Linked DNA regions of Astyanax mexicanus. Each later gene encodes a partner of the first gene's protein in a complex. Links are inferred from orthologs where the notes say so. Each region holds a gene or a part of one and is shown on either strand. Other genes may lie near its edges.

Region 1 (7,145 bases):
ATGAGCCCATTTAAATAGGGCTCATTTGACCCAGTGATTAGACTCAGCTACAAAAGCTACAATGGGAAAGTCAAAGGAACTCAGTGTGGATCTGAAAAAGCGAATTATTGACTTGAACAAGTCAGGGAAGTCACTTGGAGCCATTTCAAAGCAGCTACAGGTCCCAAGAGCAACTGTGCAGACAATTATACGCAAGTATAAAGTGCATGGAACAGTTGTGTCACTGCCACGATCAGGAAGAAAACGCAAGCTATCACATGCTGCCGAGAGGAGATTGGTCAGGATGGTCAAGAGTCAACCAAGAATCACCAAGAAGCAGGTCTGCAAGGATTTGGAAGCTGATGGAACACAGGTGTCAGTCTCCACAGTCAAGCGTGTTTTACATCGCCATGGACTGAGAGGCTGCCGTGCAAGAAAGAAGCCCTTGCTCCAGAAAAGGCACCTTAAGACTCGGCTGAAGTTTGCTGCTGATCACATGGACAAAGATAAAACCTTCTGGAGGAAAGTTCTCTGGTCAGACGAAACAAAAATTGAGCTGTTTGGCCACAACACCCAGCAATATGTTTGGAGGAGAAAAGGTGAGGCCTTTAATCCCAGGAACACCATGCCTACTGTCAAGCATGGTGGTGGTAGTATTATGCTCTGGGGATGTTTTGCTGCCAGTGGAACTGGTTCTTTGCAGAAAGTAAATGGGATAATGAAGAAGGAGGATTACCTCCAAATTCTGCAGGAAAACTTAAAACCATCAGCCCGAAGGTTGGGTCTTGGGCGCAGTTGGGTGTTCCAACAAGACAATGACCCAAAACACACATCAAAAGTGGTAAAGGAATGGCTAAACCAGGCTAGAATTAAGGTTTTAGAATGGCCTTCCCAAAGTCCTGACTTAAACCCCATTGAGAACATGTGGACAGTGCTAAAGAAACGGGTTCATGCAAGAAAACCATCACATTTAGCTGAACTGCACCAATTCTGTCAAGAAGAGTGGTCAAACATTCGACCTGAAGCTTGCCAGGAGCTTGTGGATGGCTACCAAAAGCGCCTAGTTGCCGTGAAAATGGCCAAGGGACATGTAACCAAATACTAATGTTGCTGTATGTATATTTTTGACCCAGCAGATTTGGTGACATTTTCAGCAGACCCATAATAAATTTATGAAAGAACCAAATTTTATGACTGTTTTTTGTGACAAACATGTATGTGTTCCGATCACTCTATCACAGAAAAATAAGAGTTGTAGAACTTATTGAAAACTCAAGACAGCCATAACATTATGTTTTTTTACAAGTGTATGTAAACTTTTGACCACAACTGTAGGTTGCTCTCTTTTTACACAGCAGAGAGAGAGAGAGAGAGAGAGAGAGAGGCAAACAAGACTACAGTTACTGTAGCACACTTCCTAAACCACTACAATACCAACAATACCATGCTTACAGCTTAAATGAATAAATTACTCTCCATGAGACAAGTGTGTGTAACCAACCGTAACCCCCAAACTGAGGGATTAGTATGAATACACAATATACACTACTATTATGGTACTAAAGCTAATTCACAAATTACATTATTATGAAATTCAATAAGACTAAAAAGTAAATGTTCTGCTTAAATGTGTTCATCTACATAAAAATCCATTTTACAGTTTACCCTGAGTTAGATTGTGCCTCACTCTGCCTTACATTATTATCTCACTAAGCTTGCATTTATCGAATTAGTGTCTTATCTGGGTGAACACTGAGTGAACAAGGTTTTTTTTTCTTTTGTAGTTTTTAGGCTACTACACTAGTATCAAGGGAATCTAAATCAAAAGACTTTATTTAAAATAATCACACCCTTTCTTGTTGTCTGTGCTCTGACAGACAGTCTGTTCACTATCTTTCTTCGTACTGCCCTCCTTGCTAACAATATGAGCGATATGCTAATGCTATCGCTAATGCTAACGCTAACACTGTCCTGTTTTTTGGGATTTCCAAACCAGCAGGCTGGTTTATTTTAGACTTTCTCCACATACAGTGTTTGTTTCTTATCAGATCGCTCTCTGGTAAGTCTTTAATGTTTAATAAACTTTGTGACAGCATGAAAATGATCAATGTATTTGCTACTTAAAGAGGCTAATGTTGTTATTTTATTTGTCTTGTTTTATTTTCCTGTATTACAAAAAAAAATGAGCCTCTTGTATCAGTCGTGATGGACTGTAACCTGTGACTGATCTTTCTTTTCACTCACAAACGTCGTTCTGTAAACGTGATTTAAGATGCTGTTGTGGGAAGACAAGTACTGAGTATTGGGACGAATGAGGGGGAATAAGGGGTATTTGTGTGATTTGCTACATCTTACATTATAAAAGAGTAAGAACGCTTGAAGGCCATTGTGTAATTCACTCTGATTTACGTTGTTTCTGAGGAATTCTCCTCTAACGTGGTGTGTTTTCAGCATTTTTGATTGAGAGTATTAATTCTACACGTAATGTTAAACTACACTGTGATCTCCAGAGTAGAATCATCGGCCAACGAATAAAGATATCTTTCACCACAACGGCACTTAAATACTAACTTTAAAGAAACAAAAACCTGCTAAATCCTCCACAACTAATGCTGTTTGTCTTCTTTCTCTCTCATTTTGTAAAAGATTCAAACGCTATGCACTTGGGTCAGACAGAAAGACTCCATTTTTTGACCACTATACTGGTTACAATTAACAAATGATCGATATATTGAAAGATTACAGATTTCTATGAAAACGCAGTATCTATATTTAACTTTACCACAAAAGTGATGAGTTTATTTTTCTGATTATATAAAGAATTATTTGAATATTTCTATTTTATGATCACACAAATAATTTCCAAAGTTTTCTTGACCTCACATTCGGTTTTATTTGGTGTATGACTGTATGTCTCATGATGGATCTAAACTATATTTCTACACTCAAATATGAATGTTTCGTATTCTGTAATGTAAATGTGTATTTGGAGGTGTATTAATGTCATATTTTTGGGGAAATAAAGCAAATGTGGGGCATCCTAAAATCACTGTTGTGTCTTTTTTTTACTATCCCTCCATACAACTGGAATATCACTTCAGCGTTATTGAAGTGTGTCTTAATTTTTTTTTTTGTGAATGTGAATTTCTGAGAAATATATATTGAATGTATGATGTAGATTCAAGCTCATCAAAGCGAGATCTGTTGCTTACAATGCATGATCAGCTGTAGGTCGATTGAGCTTCAGGTAGGGGCGGCTCTTTTCTGCCTTCTAGTGTACAAAATTTTGCAGTAAACGGTCAGAGCCTATATATTTATGATAAAAACAGGAAAAAATGCATATATATATATATATATATATATATATATATATATATATATATATATATATATATATATATATATATATATAGCAGGGGTGACTTTTAGCAAACAAATCATTGGTTAACAGCTTACAACTAAGTAAGTAGCAATGAAAATTACCTGAGCTTAATTTTTTTTTTTTAAATATCAATTTCCAAAGCCTTTTGTCTGAAGTAAAGCAGTGCTGGAACATATGGTGTTACTGTACTCTGTACTGCAGCATTTACACACTTACACTCAGCACATTCACATTTTTATCATAATAACTAGAAAAAGAAACAGAACACACAGAAATTACAGATGACAACGGTGAGTACCGTTTCCTACACCTTCAAAAGACTCTTGGAAACTGGAAAAAAGTCTGGTACAGGAAAAGGTCTGGCTGACCCACATGGCAACGATTTTAGCTCATCTTGACATTGGACTAAGTCTCGGTTTCAGCAGTGAGGAGAAGAATTAAGGGTCTGACAGGCAAAGAAATGCAGTAAAAAGACATTGATAAGAAGAGAAAATAAAAAAGCACTTTAGTTCAAATTAAACTCAATAGAAAAAAGAACAGCAGTACTGTTGTACTGTAAATGTAATAGTTTAAGTGTATTTTAAGTGTAATCGTTTAAGTGTATTAGGTGAACAGTGATGTATTGCGATGGGTCGGTGTTGTCTCCCTCTCGTGGTGAGGGCGTATTTTTGTCATTTCAAATCTCATTTCAAATAAACTACATTTCCCATAATGCCTGTTATACGTACACCGAAAACGCCTGACGCAAACGGAAGAACGCGTTGCAGAGTGACGAGTTCGTGATGGTAAGCTGAAAGATGAAGATTTGTAGAAGATTATCCTGTTATTATAGTGTAATATATTTATTATATGAAGTTATTCATGATAATTGGTCATATATTTGCGCTTCCTGGCCTTTAAATCGTTTAAAAATAGGTTTAAATTAGTTTTAGGGCCGATTAAGTTCACTGAGAGCTCAGTTAGCGTTAGCTAGCTTTAGCTAAATAACTGTTAGACTGTGTTTATCTGTTTTTTTTAGTTATTGTTGGTTTAAATATCGTTTAATTGGAAAATAAACCTTTTATTAGTGTATGAGATATGTATATTAGTGTACTGCGATATACTGAGCTCATGCTTGTGTGTTTATGCCCCTCATTCTGAGGTATACAAGCAGGATCATTGACTGACTAGTGCATCTAAAAAAATAGAATATCATTAAAAATAAGTTACTTTATTTCAGTAATTCAGTTAAGAATGTGAAACTCATATATTATATAGATGTATTAAACACAGAGTGATTTATTTTAATTGTTTATTTATTTTATTGTTGATGATTATGGCTTACTTTTGGCTACAGTGTGGGCAGTGTGCCAAGTCCTGCTGGAAAATAAAATCCTCATCTCTATAAAAGTTGTCAGCAGAGGGAAGCATGAAGCGCTGTAAGATTTTCTGGGAAAACAAAACTGCACTGACTTTAGACTTGATAATAAAACACAGTGGATCAACACCAGCAGATGACATGTCTTTCCAAACCATCACTGATCATCAGTAAATTTTACATTTCATTTGTAAATCAAAGGAGCAGAGTCTGGAGGAAGAGTGGAGAGACACACAGTCCAAACTGCTTGAGGTCTAGTGTGAAGTTTCCACCAATCAGTGATGGTTTGGAGAGACGTGTCATCTGCTGGTGTTGATCCACTGTGTTTTATTATAAAGTCCAAAGTCAGTGCAGTGTTTTCCCACGAAATCTTACAGCATTTAATGCTTCAGCCTAAGGATGAAACTACCTGTATTTAGGGTAACTGTTGATTAGTGTTGATTAAAACTTCTCTTTTCCTCTGAAAAGGCGACCGGAGCAGACCAAGCTGTGGGTTTGGGTCTCGTTGGCTTCAGTCTATTATTGTTCACATATTACACCCTATGGGTTATAGTGCTGGTAAGTAAAACAAATCCTATCTACCTTCTCTCAGTTCTAACACAGAAACTGTACTAAAGTGAAAGTAACGGGTACTGATTAGAAATTGTGCTTAGTGGAAGAAGTAGCAGAGAGTAGCAGGGGACCCACTAATAATGGAAGTTCAGTGAGTCTCACTCATTTTAGTAGGTGTTCCCTAATGCCTGAAAAATATATGACGTAGCTACATCCCTGAAATTAGAGTAGGGATGGGCAATATGGCACAAAACAGCACTGTACCTGTATATTTATCAAAGTATTATGATTCCGCACTGACTGCAGTGATTTCCTTCGAAAATTGCTGCGATAGGTCCACTTATTTTGTGTGTATGGATCAGACCTAGCAATGCTGCTGGAGTTTTTAAACACTGTTCTTCACTCACTGTCCTCCACTCTATTAGACACTCCTACCTACTGTAGCTCCTCAACCTCGTAGATAAATTAAAGTAAAGTCAGAGACAGAAGCTCTGAATCTCTTGCTGCACAGTTTGTGTTGGTCATCATTATTCTGAGTTCAGCATTGACACTGCGATGTTTAAAAACTCCAGCAGCACAACTGTTTTTGATCCACTCGTACCAGCACAACACACACAAACACCTCATACACCACCACCATGCCAGTTTTACTGCAGTACTAAGAATGAATGATCCTGAACCCAAATAATGATACAAACAGACATCTGTCACAACATAAAAACTAACCAGATCTCTTCTGCTCTCTCTGCAGCCATTCGTAGACAGTGATCATGTGATCCACAGTTACTTTCTTCCTCGTGAGTACTCGGTCATACTTCCAGGAGTAGCAGCACTGATTCTTTTACTCTGTGTCGGTAAGTAAAGAAAAATACATTTCTTTATAGATAAATTAAAAGTTTAATTACACAATAAAAATGTTTTCTTGTAATAAATAATAAATCAAAAATAGACTCTTGAGTTTTCTCATTATTAGGTTCTTGCAGGGATTGTAAACACGTTGATTTATTTATCAATTATTTTCTTAATAGCAAGTTATCATATTATTATTTGATTATTATGTGCATGTAAACATTTTTAATTGCACCTGAGCAAAAAGACTACTTCTTTTTGGTGCTACAAATAAATACTGTTTTTTAAACTTCTCTTTTGCAAAAGTTTTCATCAAAAACTACAACACAATTAATTTTAAACTTAATTTAAAACCATCATTTAGTAATCAGATTTGATTCTCATTCTTTTTAATTTCATTAATGTATTTTTATGTTTTACATTGAAAAATCCATTCACTGTTAAGTGTTATTTATCTAAATGTATCTTCCTGTCTTTTTTTACTATGAAGTGTTTGTTTCTAATCCTAATTCATTGTTGTTTACCAACTTGTAAAGCCCTTTAAATGTTAAGCTTATTTGTTTAAAAATAATACTAATATAAATAGTTGGTTAATTGCTAGAATAATCGTAGTTAGGGATGCACAATAAATGTTTTTTTATTTGACATAATTGCCAGTATTTGCTTTTTCAGTGGATTTTATTCCATTTATTTTTATCCACAGGCACCTTCATAGGAGTAGTAACGTGGAAGAATCGTAAACCAAAGAAAGTGGACTGAGGTTGTCCAGTGATGAAATCTCTCAGCTGCCCAAGACTGGACATTAAATTTAAACCCAGCTCTTCTCTGAAGCTTGCTGATCGTTCCTATAGACTCCTCCCAGCAGGCTGTGCAGCAGTATGTAAGAGGCTGATGAAATCACCAGTGATTTGTAAGAGGGCCCTGGCAACACTGCATCTCTATAAACAACAGGACACCATACCCTAGCATTGAAAACCCAGTGACCACAGCAACCTCAGCCACAGGACAGACCATGTAACGATTAGT
Region 2 (6,833 bases), on another chromosome or scaffold:
GCTTGATTTGTATGCTGTTTAATGTTGCTGTCAGACAAAAACTTCATATTTCCAAAATGTCATCTTTACAAGAGACAGGGGAACTTTTAATGGACATCAAGGCATAAAGACAATTTATTCCAAATAATTTTTGAACATTTCTATTGGTCCATTCATTTAGAATTTTTTATACAATGTACAGAACAACTGCCAGATCCAAATTATGTTACATTGTCCAAGATACAACTAAATATAATGTAATATTTAAATAAAAACAATTAACAAAGGTTAAAAGTCCTAACGATAATAAAAAAGGTACTTTACTTAGATAACCCTATTACCTAAACATATTCATCCTTATAAGGCACTGGGAAGTATTCTAGAGAAAAATCAATTCTCTTTTTTTATATGTATGTATTTATTATTATTATTTTTTTTTATTTACCAATTCAGTTCAAATGATTAGGCATGAAAATAAAAAAAATGATACATCAAAGTATTGTCATATTTTATTTTGCAATACTGTATTTATTTTATAAAACACACTATAATTTTTTTACTTTTAGATTACATGTAAAGATTAGTAGTACACTTTGGTTCATTTTGTGCTGCAGTGCTTTTATTTATTTATTTTTTTGTTAACTGAAAGTAGTAGTGTTCCTAAGTGGGGTGCGGACAAAATATTATAATAAATGGCATCAATGTGCTTCTGCTACCATTTCTGCAAAGCCACATTTGTTCATTAAATAAACACAAAAAAACAGGGTGTTTGGTAGATTCCTGTACCTTTTTCTGGCTTTAGGGTTGCCTGAGCAATCATGGTGCTGCTATTGGTGCTGATACAAGAGCTACTGCAAACTGATGTCAGAGAATCATACAATTAGAACTGAATAGAGCTGGAGAGATAAACAGAATCCTGCAATTTTAAATAAAATGGGTTTAACATATTTATTTAACAGAATAATAATAATAATTCTATCAATATGTTATCACTACAGTATCTCTAATATACTCCGTGTTGTTAGCATGGATGCTATTTAATCACATTTGTGTAAATCATTATATGATTTAAAAAAAAATGATGTTATAACAAACTTATTTTCCAGTGTTAAACCAGCTACGCCCCTTCGTAGCTTTTCCTCTAACTGAACACACATTTAGCCTAGCTGTACTGTAAAAAATACTTAAAACTTCCACACTAGTTTATATGGAAGCCCATTTACGCCACTTGGAAAAATAAATGTCCTTCACTAAGTCAAAATTATGAAAGGCAAAGTCATAATTATGTGGTAGTTACTTAAAATTATGAGGTAACTACTCATAATTATGAGATACTAAGTCATAATTACAAGTAACTACCACATAATTATGACTTTGCCTTTCATAATTTTGACTTAGTGAAGGACATTAATTTTTCCAAGTGTGATGAGAATGATGAAAGGCTAAGTCATAATTATGAGATATTACTCATTATTATGAGATACTATAGCATTGTTTTGAGATACTAGGTCATAATAATGACATACTAAGTCATAAATATGAGATGTCTTATGTTATGATTATGACTTAGTATCTCAAAATAATGCCTTAATATCTCATGATCTCATAATTAAGACTTATTTCAAAATAATACCTTAGTATCTCATAATTATGACTTAAAATCTCATTTATATGACTTAATATATCAAAATAATGCCTTAGTGTCTCATAATTATGACTTAGTATCTTATAATTGATGACTTATTTGAATAACTTAGTGTAGGACCCTTATTTTTGAGGTGGAAATGAGTTTCCATAGATTTAAGCGTATTTATACTAGTCTGGTTACTTGGATAAACTGTATTAGGCATACTAAAGTTTAAAATACAAACGTGCTGTTTTACTGGTGACCGTATTTGAATCTGTTTCTCGTTATCTAGCTGAGCTGGCACATTAAGAAAGGTTTCTCACAAATATAAACATCACCCAGAATAACCCAGCATTTGTCTAGACTTTGTTTACGTGTTGGGGGCTGGCAGTCGTTGCCCGCGGAGTATCAAGTTTGCTTGTGGACGTCACTCAGGTCACGGCCTCTGCTGCCCGTCGAGGCCTCGCCATCCTCAGCACTGAATGGACGGATGTACCCCTGCAAAGATCCTGGACCGAGCTGACACTGAGGAAATCAGAAAAGAAGTGCTCAGCACTGGAATTTCACTAAAATTACATCAAAATAAGTACAGGTTACTGATAAGTACGACGCTTCCCACATAAATCCTACATAATACTTTTCCAAACTGAGAAAATGTGATGAATCAAAGTTTACCCTTTAGCACTAACAGGCTAGGCAGGCTAGCAGGATACAGCTTTTCAGAAATACTTCCTGATGGCAAATAATTGGATTCTGTCTCAGTAAAGAATTATACCAGGTTATGAAGTGTAGTTTTTGAAATGTTCTTATTTATCTTATCTTTCCTGTTTCTCATACAGTACAGCATATAATGATATCTGACTGCAGAGCCACGGCGCTGCAGCTTGACTCCAGCAGCTGTTCTAGGTTATATTTCCTTTCTTTGCTTTATCTTAAGAAGTGTTAGGCTAATTCATATTTTGGCTGTTGATATATTTTTAATACCCAGTATTTGGCTAACACCATATTTTAAGTTTAAGGAAACTTTAGACTGTATGCTTTCAGACATTCATTGTAAAAAACACACTTACTCGCACATAAGCTTAGCTTAGCTTATGTAGCCAGAGTAAGCTATGTTAGCAGCTAGACATAGCTGATGATAGCTATCTCTGAATTAAGCAAAATCCTTGGAATTACCTTTGTAGTCTAAAACAAACTTTATTTATTTAGACATTTACAGTGTAATTCTTATACAAACTTTAGTGTATTTAGTCTAGCTTGGTAAGCTGTTAAGCTAAAGGGTTAGCTATGTAAACACCCCATAAGAACATAATGGCTTAATTGACTGAAATTATTATTTGCACATAATATATGGCAGCTAAAAGCTGACATATGAATATTTGATTCTGCATTTTGTATATCGTTGCTGTCCTATGAAAAACACTTATCTCCGTTTTTGTCGATTTTCAGTTTAGTACATAATTTGAACAGACAAACTGTCTTTTACACTGTGTCAAAATTTCTTGATGAACGGACCAATAGAAACTCTTCAAAATTACTTGAAATAAACTGTTTTTACATTGACTTCCATTGAAAGTTTACAAGGTTTTTTCCCTCTCCTGTAAAGTTGCTGTTTTGGAGATAAGTGTTTTTCATTGGACAGCGACGATATGTGAATTAAATTTACTTCCCCATTAAAACCGCTATTAGCTGTTACCCATAGGCAACAAATCTTTCTGGATTTTTCTTACCTCTGGCCTAAATTTGTATTTCTGATTTATGGATCAGATAAAAAAAAATCTGATTTTTTTTTTTTTTTAACAGCACATTTTACCACCTCACAATGACAAGACACACACACAAAAATATTAGTATTATATTTACATTAAATATTTAAGTGTTTTAAGTCAAATTTAATTGAAATATAAAAAAAAATACAAATTTAAATACTAGTTTAATCTTTTAAGCTCCATAAAAATATTCTGACCTATCCTTGACTTTAACCTCTAGGTTGAAAGCAAAGGAGGAATAAAACTAATTTACACAAGCTTAAACTGAATCTGATATTTTATTTAAATTAATTACTCTTTTTGAGTGACTGTACACATGCTGATATACACAAGCGATCAGTAATCAGACCGTGAACAGTCGCTGTCTGTAGAGCACAATCACTCTGGACTGTGCTCTCGGTGCCGCTGGTCTGCTGGAGTGAATCTGCGCTCTGCGGTCAGACTCGTCTCGAACTACAGCGGTGAACTACAACTCCCAGCAGCCTCAGCGAGCTAAAGGCGTCATTGCTGTGCGCGCGCTCTGAAGTGGTGAGCTGGCTGAGAGGTAAGATAAATAACAGGCGTTTATAAAGACCGGAGATTACATGTACACGTCTCTGTGTGTTTTTACTGTCAGTAAATATCTTTACCCTGCTGTGTGTTAAACAGCCGGGTCAGATCTGTGATTTATTTAGCGCTTTATTCAGCGCGGGAGCTGATTAAACAGTTAGCCCAGCGGCTAACTACTCACACTGTCAGCGAGTAACGTTACTGTGAGAATTAGAAATATTTCTCTATTAAAGGAGATACTGATAGATAAAAATACCTCTTGCATGGAATATTGAAATTCTATGGGTTGTTAATATCAGTTTCAACGGGGATCTCTCCAATTTGGATATAATATGTGTAGTTAGTTAACAGGTTAAATGCTTATAACTAAGTAATGCTAGCTACAAACTTGAGAGGGGATAAATAAGCCTGTCATGATAACCATATTTTGGGTGATTTATTGTCTCAGAAATCAGTGCGATATTATCGTCTCACTGGCATTTTAAGATAAATTAATGCCACTGATATACAGATAATAAAATAGCATCAATATAAAACAATTGCATATTATTTTTACTTCTAGTATTATTAGAACATTCAAACATTACATTAAGAATTGTATTTAAAAATGCTTAAATATCCTAAATAAATAAAACATAAATATAATAAAAAAACAATAGCTCTGTAAAAAAATTAGACCACTTCAGTTTCTAAATCAGTTTCTCTGATTTTGCTATTTATAGTTATATGTTTGAGTAAAATGAACATTGTTGTTTTATTCTATAAACTACAGACAACATTTCTCCCAAATTCCAAATAAAAATATTGTCATTTAGAGCATTTATTTGGAGAAAATGAGAAATGGCGGAAATAACAAAAAAGATGCAGAGCTTTCAGACCGCAAATAATGCAAAGAAACCAAGTTTATATTTATAAAGTTGGTAAGAGTTCAGAAATTAATATTTGGTGGAATAACCCTGGTTTTTAATCACAGTTTTCTTCCATCTTGGCATGTTCTCCTCCACCAGTCTTACACACTGCTTTTGTACAACTTTATGCAATTCCTAGAGCACACATTCTTAAATAAACACAATTGGCGACATTGAAGTTAGCAAAAATGATTGAGATTAAGTCCATATATTGTACAATAAGTCAATAATATAAATAATTTCTGTGACAGACCATAAATAAATAAAGTGTAATCCATAATAAATAATTTTTTATGCTAATTTTTATCTTGCCTTATAATGGTTTTGGAAAGTTTTGAGCGATTGCTTTTACTTGTTTGTAGCACTCTTGCACCTTTATTTTAGGATATTTTGTGTGAATTGATACAAAAAGTAATTACATATTTAATGTTAATTGTCACATGAAGTATATAAGAAAGGCTAACACATGTAAATTCTCATCTAACTCTGTTGGTTTGCTGTCTGTTTGTTCTTTGGTCTCTAGGTTATCCTGATCTTTCAACATGACCAAACTTCTGCAGTGGCTTCTGGGCGTGTCGCTGATCGGGATTGCATGGGGACTGGTCACATTTGACCTCCTGGACTTGCAGTTGCCAGCAGTGTACAAGGAAGTGGCCTGGCCAATGCCTGTCTACCTTCTGGTGGTGTTTGGATGCTACTCACTGGCAACAGTCGGCTATAGAGTCGCCACCTTCAATGACTGCGAGGAGGCAGCCAAAGAGCTTCAGGCACAGATAAAAGAGGCCAAAGCTGATTTAAAAAAGAAGGGACTGAAGATGTGAAAAACAACCAACAGAATCATCTAGCCTGTACGAACATTGTTGAACTGTTATCAAGCCATAGATGGATGAATTATGTGATGATAGTTTTCACCAGTTTGCTAAATCTTCCTGACTTAAATCCAGAAATTGAGAGCTTGCAGTGGAAACTAGAATTGTTTTAAAAACATTAAGACCTAAAATATGTTCTGCAGATGTAGATGATATTTTTCCTTTATTTTTCCTGTCCCAACAGTCCGTATAAAACCTTGCTGAAACATGTATAAAATGCCAGTGAAGAATGTGCTATTTCAGTGCAGCTTCCAGGGCATGTGTATTTGGGCTGGCTTGGGATTGAAGATCTGTCTGTGTTTTTGGATCCAGTGTTTTTAGCATAGTCAGAATTCTCAGTCAATTCTAGAGTTAGTAACAGCCGTACTGCATGGCTTCATGTTTGTGCGAGAGAGCTGTAGCGTGACCCTCGCGCTAACAATACCGCTAGATATAAAACCGGGAGACTGATTTTTAATGAGTTTGATAATAGGGTAACAGTGTTCAAGAAGTGCACCCATGAGTGCACAGGAATGTCTGCGGCAAAAAAAAAACGCTGAGCTCTGTTACTGTTTTAAGATAGAGCTGATTGTGTAATCTGTACTGTTCTGTTCCACTCAATGGTATTGGGTTGTGTTACCATGAACTTCTGGGTCTGCATTCATACAGCGGTGTGTGTTGAGTTCGGATCAGATACATTTTACTACTGACCAGACATTTTTCTTCCTGACCACCAATTATCTCGCATCAGTGAAATGGACGTTGTCCAGACAACTGCATTAACTAAATTTAGTGATAAGTTTCTGTTGGTTTCTAATAGAGTCTGTTAAAGGAATCCAAGGTCCTTTCGTTTTTTTCTTAATGAATGATTTATAGTTTACTGCACTGTAATTCGCTGAAGGGGTCACGGCTGTGAAATGTGAACATGATGTGGTCCACTGTTTAAAAAAAAAAAAAAAAAAAAGCTTTGTAATGTACAAAACTTGCACAGTTCTTGTTTTTTTTTGTCTACATTCCATATTTTGCTGAATGTTCGGGGCTCTAAGGCTTGATGTAAAATACAGACTATTTTTCCACATAACCATCATCGTTTGATTAACAGTGTCTTTTGTTTTCATTCCAAATGTGGTGCGAGTGCCGTCGGACCTCGATT

Evidence for each region. The genes of interacting proteins can lie anywhere in the genome.
Region 2: dpm2 (region 1) and dpm3 share a complex: the UniProt entries of both Homo sapiens proteins name them as parts of the dolichol-phosphate mannose (DPM) synthase complex. The link is inferred for Astyanax mexicanus from reciprocal best matches to the Homo sapiens genes DPM2 and DPM3.

Annotation. Positions count from the first base shown.
Region 1 is NC_064408.1:13,684,270-13,691,414, forward strand, and holds the start of dpm2 (dolichol phosphate-mannose biosynthesis regulatory protein), read left to right. Parts: upstream 1-4,134; 5' UTR 4,135-4,143; coding exon of another isoform or gene 4,144-4,146; 5' UTR 4,147-4,158; coding exon 4,159-4,194; intron 4,195-5,186; coding exon 5,187-5,276; intron 5,277-6,021; coding exon 6,022-6,124; intron 6,125-6,822; coding exon 6,823-6,878; 3' UTR 6,879-7,145. UniProt on the Homo sapiens protein: Regulates the biosynthesis of dolichol phosphate-mannose. Regulatory subunit of the dolichol-phosphate mannose (DPM) synthase complex; essential for the ER localization and stable expression of DPM1.
Region 2 is NC_064410.1:27,956,840-27,963,672, reverse strand, and holds dpm3 (dolichol-phosphate mannosyltransferase subunit 3), read left to right. Parts: upstream 1-3,813; 5' UTR 3,814-3,919; intron 3,920-5,355; 5' UTR 5,356-5,374; coding exon 5,375-5,653; 3' UTR 5,654-6,767; downstream 6,768-6,833. UniProt on the Homo sapiens protein: Stabilizer subunit of the dolichol-phosphate mannose (DPM) synthase complex; tethers catalytic subunit DPM1 to the endoplasmic reticulum.